Linked DNA regions of Oryza sativa Japonica Group. The protein of the gene in region 2 interacts with the protein of the main gene of each other region in a biochemical or structural test. Links are inferred from orthologs where the notes say so. Each region holds a gene or a part of one and is shown on either strand. Other genes may lie near its edges.

Region 1 (4,300 bases), on a different chromosome or scaffold from region 2:
TTGTAACAGAGAATGAACATTAACTTGGTATAGGTAAAGTAAAGAAAAAAGCACATGGGGCTGCCATCACCTCAAGTCACGAACTGATTCTCTGTGAGCTGTTTTATTAACTTTAACATTGTTCATGTTACTTTGCCAATACCTACAAAGGAAGTCAAAACGTGCACTTGACATGTCAGTGAAAAGATCAACATGTTAACTTAAGGATCAGTATCCAACAGGGTGACAGACTGACAGTGATAAAAATTCAAAAGGCCAACATACTTGATTGCACCACCATCATCACCAGTGACCATCCAGTTCTCATTGTTACTCCAAATCATTGATCTTACAGCTTGGTCATGAGCCTATTATCAAATTCCTCCAAAAATCAGCAAACTCAATGACACATTACTAGAAAATCTGGAGCAAAATTATAGAATACCTGAAGGATCATTTCAAAATTAAAAGATTGGCCATTCCATAGGGTGAATTCACCACTCTGTGATCCCGTAATAAGCCGACGCCCTGTGGGAGTCCACTTTATCAACAAATAACGATACATTAGACACATAAATGACAAAAGGAGAAATCATATTTAGCCTAATAATATCAACGTGGTACACAATATACGAATTCAGTTAGATTACACCAATATAAAGATACTTGGAATGGAGTTATCAACCCTCTGCACTAGCTGGTGTAAAAAAATTGGAACATTTTTCAAACAGTGTGTGAGCCTATCAAGTGACATTTTAAAGTTGTACTGCCATCAATCCTTAATTCTACCATAAAAAATGTAGAAAACAAGTAAAAATATAATATACCATCAAATATATTTGATTTAAAATGGTAAGAGTAGCTGCCTACAGATAAATATAAAATTAGATTTCAGAAGAAAAGGAAGCTCAGCAATAAGGTGAATGGTGGTGAACACCTAGAAGTTAGATCGATTCTATAGTTTTCAGCATTCTGAAGGTATCGCTGTCCTTCAGTGACCATGCACTAGCCAAGGCTTAGTGGAGCTCTTTGAAAAATATAAAAATAGCAGTTGGGATACTAGGAAAGCATAGAGATGGATATCATAGAACTCACCAAGACCCGATTAATAGAGCATCGGTTCTTGTTTATTGATGAATGTACAAATTTTGCAGCAAAACTTGTTGAGGGATTATCGGGGTATGCAACAGACGGCAACATCTGAAAAAAAAAACCCACATTAATCAGGATATCCAGATACCAGACAATGTATTCAAAATACAGTAGATACAGACAATTTCATAATCATCCAAACTGAACAATTAATTCATCAAACTTAATCATCTTTTGTCCAAGATGACAGCACTACCCAGTAATCAATCCAAAACCCTTAACCAAAATAGCAGCACTCAGCTAATTAAAAGGAATGAGACATAAGTATGTTCTACGTAAAATATTGCCTGAAGACTGAAGAGTTAAAGATCTAATTTTGTCAGCTTAATCCATTGAGCACCCTCAGTTTTACGTTGTACCATGGAGGATTTATCTCACATATATATCATAAATAACATCCAGACAGATTTACATAGTTGTGGCAAAACTGAAAACTTATGCATTAATTAGCAAGCTAAATGGCCCAAAAACAACAACCAAAGACAGGATCTGATAGGCACTCTCCCTAGATAGCAACAGGAGTTTGATTAATCCACATACAACAATCCATTCATACAACAATATAGTTTTCTTTTTCTAAGACTATCATTTTTACTGCATAACATTTCCGTTTAACCAGAACCTTGACTCAAGAATATTCAAGATCTTCCCAATCATGAGATTGCAAAGGACATCAATATAATGTACATAGTGGTTTGTTGAAATCCAAATTACAAAAGAAATGTGAGCGTCAGAAGTATAAAAGTCTAAAAACAGAAAACAGTATGGCAACTATCTTTTAACATGTTGGTTACAAGCAAGGCAAATGGGTAAGGTAACATACGTCCAGAACAGCAGCTGGAGTCGGCTGCACAGTGGGCCTGTCCCTAGCATCCCGCTGCCACATGCGAGCCTGCATGTCATATACATAATGGTGATCAGTGCTAGCAGAAGAATAAGAAAAATACAGGGTGCTAGATCTTATTGCACAGAAAAATCAACTTATGAGCATTTCATATTCATGTGATGTTTGCAGCAGGCACAGTAAAAGGAGCATATAGTAAGCAAAGTTCAACTGTATAATAGGCTCCCACAAAATAGAACAAAACATATATCACTATAACTGCTTGAGAAATAAGTTTGTTATATTTATACTTGAACATAACGGACGACTGTGCTTGTGTAGTCCACTGTTCGCCGCTGGACAGGCTTCCGCATCCTTTTAGCACCGAAATTGTCCCCATAAGCTGAATTGAGCCAAAATTACGATAACATAAGAACGCGCACCAATACCGCTGCTGTGCCCCTAACCCTAGCCAGCGACGAAACTACCAAAAGAGCGGCACTGTTACCGTCGTACGGCGGCTGGTTCTGCTGCGGCGGGGGGTGCCCCTGGTGCGCGGCGTAGTCGCCGGGGATGTTGGTGGAGGACGCCGCCGAGAGCTGCCGCATCGGCGGCTGCGGCGGCGGGCCCCGGTAGAACTCCCCGCCGCCGCCGCCCCCGGCCTGAGGCGGCGGCGGGTGCTGCGGCGGAGGCGGCGGCGGCGGCGGCTGCTGCTGCTGCTGCATCATCTCCGCCGCCGCGAGCCCCGCCGACCTGAGCTAGGGTTTTGGATCCGTGCGGCGCGGGGGTTCGGGGTTCTTCCGCCGAGGAGACGCCGCGGGAGGGTGAGCTCCGTGAGGCGAGTGGTCGAGTGCTGTGCTGCCTCGCTTGCCTCGCGAGATGTATTTGGGCCATACAGGCCCACTCTGGCCTCATTTAGATGGGCCTTCAAGGCCGGCCCATCCACGTTGACGGCAAGGATTTTTAGCCCATGCGAGGCCTCTCGTGTATTTAGCTCCTGTTGCTTCCAAACCAAGGTGCCAATATTTAGCAGTCCTAAATGATACTGAGGCAAAAAGGAAGCATTTTGCAAAAGTAGAGTTTCGTCATGAAAATCGGGCTTGTAATTTTGATGCTCACAACTTAGCTAAGTTTGCTTCTACTTTACAGGAGGGGCGTTATCTTTGGTTCTCAAATCCTCCTTGTAATATGAATAGGAATGTAAATGTGGATGGTAATAAATAAATTATCCGCTCTTTCTAAAAAAAAAAAAAGCTCCTGTTGCTTCCTCCAAATAAAAGCAAACTCAAAGTAGTTTTTCTCTAAACAAATATGCGAATGGTCTAGTGCTTCTTTGGATGAAGGGTTTTTACTTTTTAGGGGAGAAATTTTGTATTTTTAGATTCCGTAGGAGATTCTACTATATTTCATGGGAATTTAAACATTCACCTAGTCTAGGCAAATCAAGCTATATAACTTCAAATTATCATAATCAATAGTGATAGTTTTATTAAGATTTATATCTGCCTAAAAAATCCATATCCGGCGAATTTTATGTCAGACACAACACGTTATATTTTCCCCCACGTCCTAAATATATGTGTTTTTGCACGTGTATTGATTTTTTGTGCTTTTATATTCCTATATATTCTATAAAAAAAGATCATTAGGCATAGATCCTCTAGACTCGTTCTGGTATTGTACATGTGGGTTTCTAGTTGAATTTGATAATTTTAGCACCGATGTCTAGTTGTTTACATAATCTAATATTATTGTATGAGTTTCTAAGTGCGTGCATATCCACGTACCATGTTGTAGTTATTGTTGAAAACGTAAAAATGAAGTTGTCGTCGACCTTCTCTTTAAGACTTTGTTTGATTCAGTTTAGGATTATTATATTCTAGATTATTATAAATAAGTCGAAACAAACAGATAACTTATTATGATAATTATTACAATCTATGAGCCAGATTACTATAATATGGTAATCCACTCTAAAGGTGCTTTCTTTAATTATTGGGTGGCTAATAGCTAATAACGATCCGGTGTTGAATAATCAAGAATTTCCCTATCTTTTTTACCAAAAGTATCCAACAGTCCAGTAGAAACAAACAACTAACAGATTATTCTATGTCGGTTTATTATAATCCAACTTATTGTAATATGGCTCAATAATCTATATTATAATAATCTTAAACCGAAACAAACAGAACCTAAATCACACTTCTCCCACAATGAAAAAAAACCACCCACTGTAAAACAGTGTCATTTTGAAAATCACTAGAAAAAAAGGGACAAATAAAACTGAACCATATAAAATATTCATCCTAATTCCTCTTAGTCATACTAAAGATATAATGTTTAAGT
Region 2 (3,367 bases):
TGACTAATGAAGTTTGCAATGCATAATCACACCAATGTTAGTTAATTAATGGCTTGTCGCGTCGGACACGTTTGAGAAGAAATTTCAAGATGTGTTATTTCAACTCTTCTTATGCATTCCTACCTGGTAGGTGTAACTTCCTGCTGCTCTAGGTGGTCTTGATTTAAAAAAGGTACAGCTTAGCTACACGGGCCCAGATATGTATCATTGTGGCTTTTATAAATCCTGTACTTTTCTCCTGCATTGTTCCAAAAAAAAAGTGTTCTCCCTCTTTTTGTTTATATCCGTGAATTTTTGTTTATATCTCAATTCGTATCTTAAAACGTTGCACATACGTCTCCAGTTTAGTCTATCAAAAATCTTGGAACTGCGACGTCACATCATTGTCCAATGTAACGGGCTTAATAAGATGTACTCCAAAGATAACCATGTTCTAATCGATGTGAGAAATGGCCCACGTCGGTCGGCCATTGTAGTTGGGAGCGGACAAACATGCTGATTCCCGCCGCGGCCAAATCTATTCTTATCTAGCATGTCTTGAGAGCAAACAGCTTTCAAAGGAGGAAACAATCTAAATGATGATTGCTGGGGACATGTCATGAAATGCCCAAAATCATACTAGCGACGAACCTCTGGCAGTTGCCTATGCAAGGAAAGCGAACATTCTAATCAGCAGAAATGTTACAGCGGTACAAGGCCTAGACTGCAAACATTTTACACGGATTGGAGCTACAACTTTTTAGACATCAATCTAAGCTATATCCAGAGTTACAACGATCGGCATGGCCGCTTGGCCACCACTCAGGCATCAGGCACCGTCAAGGCATTTGATGGAGGCAGCAGGTTGAGTGGAGCTCATTTCCGAGTAACAGCTTACCAATTTATCATTCACCTGAAAAAAAAGAGTAACAAGTTAATCATGTGTCAGTACACGCTGGTCCGTCCGATAACACAACAGCATTTATCTCATTGCTTTTTAAGAAAAAAAAATCTGCTAGAAAATGGATCAAAGGAACTAAAATCCCTCAAGTTCTCTACTTCTCGTCAAATAAAACTATCTGTATCTCAGCATCGCATGTAAAGATTTGATTCAGGTCACCCTTTTAAACATGACAGCAGTTTCTCATTACAGTTTAAAGCATACAGTTTCAAAAAACCACTGTTGTTTTACAACCCAAAAAAAAAATCATTTTTCTTGCACTGCATTCCACACAACATGAAATGGTCACTGGTGTTTACTTTCATATAGTTCACAAAGAATGCCATACTGAGGGTAGGTAGGTATTTTTCTCACCTTCAGTCTCAACTTTTCCAAGCACGTTCTTGTGCAGATTGGATGCCCTAAATGTTACCGAGATTAATTCTGTTAATTGAAATTAATCAATGAAGAATCTAAGATCAACATATTGAGAACAAAAAGTAATGTTAAATAGTACCTGTTGTATCCTACTGGGATCAATAGCACCAGGAGTCTGTAGCTGAGTATAATTCAATTCCTATATAAAATGTTTGAGATGTAAAATGTTCAAATCTTACACAACTTACAACTTCAAATGTAGATTTAAGAGACAGGAAAGTTAAAATCTCAACAGTAAAGTTCATTCAAATTTTATCGCTATTATACAGTGTTTCAAGATCATATATTCAACAAAGAAGTTTTTGTCTCTTGAAGCGGATACAACCTGACGTGTCAAAAGTGCTGATAGACAAAGTAATCAAATCAAAGTTGAGAATGAAAAAATAAAAGGTTTGAATACATAGAAGAAGCACATGTACTGAAACACAGTGCTAGGTAGAAACATTCATTAGAATAGTTTTCTTGGTTTGACAAGACTCAAGAAACAGAAAAGGGATCTCTTTAATGAGCTGGCAACAGGAAAGAAGGAAAAAGATAGAAGCAGAATATAGATCATGCGAAGCTGGAATCAAATAGTAATGTGCATATTAGAATTATAGCTCAGGGAACAGCATGTGCACCTGCTGTTTCATCTGCATTTGTTGCTGTCCTTGTTGTGCCTGAGGAATTTGTTGGACAGGTTGCATTGCTGGATGTGTCTGAGCCTGAGGTGGTGACTGAAGTTGCTGCATGGCAAGTTTTTGTTGGTGCTGTTGAAGCAAAAGTAGTTTCTGCTGTTGCTGCTGCTGTTGCTGTTGCTCATACAGCACATACTCTTCAGGCTTATCCCACTGTAAAACAATAACTCTAAGAGTGAGACCCACAAATGTTGCGATCTTTAAAATGATTGGTGATGAGTTTCAATTCTTCACCTTACTCTCTCGAGTTATGCTATTGTAGTAGTATTTAAAACCTTCAGGAGACGTATGTTCAGTCCAATTGCAGGTTAAAGGAACTGCAGGTGAAGTAGCCTGCTGGGGAATTGTATTAATGTTTGATGGAATAATGGCATTTGGGGCACCAGGGTTACTAGATTGCACTGGCTGACCCTGTAGTGGAAACAGAAACGGTTAAAAAAAATGTCAGCCGTAAACCACATTATACAACTAAACACAAACCGCGTACACATTGGTGTATGCATAGAAAATACATGTTGCTCAGCGACCTGTGTGGGTTGTTGATGGTTTAGATTCGATTGCTGCTGCTGCTGCATTAGTTGCAGCTGTTGTTGAAGCTGATAAATTGCCTGCTGTGAAGATTGATAACTGGATTGCAAAGCAGCTTGCTGTTGGAGTAGCAATTGTGGTGCTTGCGATGGCATCTGCTGCACTGGCTGCTGAAGCATTTGTGGTGCAACATTTGAGGGAAGATGCTGTTGCCCGGGAATAGCTTGCATGGAATTGGACACGGCTGAAGGCACCTGCACAGCGCTGACGGAAGCATTTTGTTGCATCAACGGCTGTGACACAGGAAGCTGACCAGATAACCTATTCTGGCCAAAAGAACCAGGACCCATAGATTGTGGAACTTGAAGCTGACCAATCTGTTGAGCAGGACCCTGCAAGGGTTGTCCCAGCTGATTATTCTGCAATTGAACAGGGAAATTCTGAGGCAACCCTGGTAGCTTTTGCAAAGGTGGGATCTGCTGGCCTCCCAGATGATGGCCTTGTGCCATGGGAGGAGGGTTCATGCCCTACAAAGTAAAAGGTATCATGATGTTTAACCGATATTTTCCATCTAAAGCTATTGATGAACAGAAAAAGTCGAATATCCCAGTTTACCATATGTGACGAACTTGGCACAGCTGTTTGGCTTGACAAAGAGCCATTTCCGCTGAACATCTGAGGTCGAAAAGTGGCCTATGATATTGCAGTATCAAAGGTAAGCAAATGGAAGCAAACAGAATTGAACTGTCATAAAAAGATTGATTTGAACCACATACCGTATCTGTTGTTGATGTAACAGTACTCC

The links.
Region 1: the proteins of flowering time control protein FCA (region 2) and flowering time control protein FY form a complex in vitro, tested with the Arabidopsis thaliana proteins (3 studies listed by BioGRID). The link is inferred for Oryza sativa Japonica Group from reciprocal best matches to the Arabidopsis thaliana genes FCA and FY.

The regions. Positions count from the first base shown.
Region 1 is NC_089035.1:42,529,882-42,534,181, forward strand, and holds the start of flowering time control protein FY, read right to left. Parts: upstream 2,807-4,300; 5' UTR 2,683-2,806; coding exon 2,463-2,682; intron 2,358-2,462; coding exon 2,266-2,357; intron 2,024-2,265; coding exon 1,955-2,023; intron 1,180-1,954; coding exon 1,075-1,179; intron 521-1,074; coding exon 425-520; intron 348-424; coding exon 265-347; intron 143-264; coding exon 71-142; intron 1-70.
Region 2 is NC_089043.1:5,817,411-5,820,777, reverse strand, and holds the end of flowering time control protein FCA, read right to left. Parts: coding exon 3,339-3,367; intron 3,256-3,338; coding exon 3,178-3,255; intron 3,090-3,177; coding exon 2,562-3,089; coding exon of another isoform or gene 2,547-2,561; intron 2,446-2,546; coding exon 2,269-2,445; intron 2,188-2,268; coding exon 1,978-2,187; intron 1,497-1,977; coding exon 1,437-1,496; intron 1,364-1,436; coding exon of another isoform or gene 1,358-1,363; exon of another isoform or gene 1,342-1,357; coding exon 1,303-1,341; 3' UTR 1,295-1,302; intron 893-1,294; 3' UTR 502-892; downstream 1-501. UniProt on the Arabidopsis thaliana protein: Plays a major role in the promotion of the transition of the vegetative meristem to reproductive development. Plays a role in the regulation of flowering time in the autonomous flowering pathway by decreasing FLOWERING LOCUS C mRNA levels.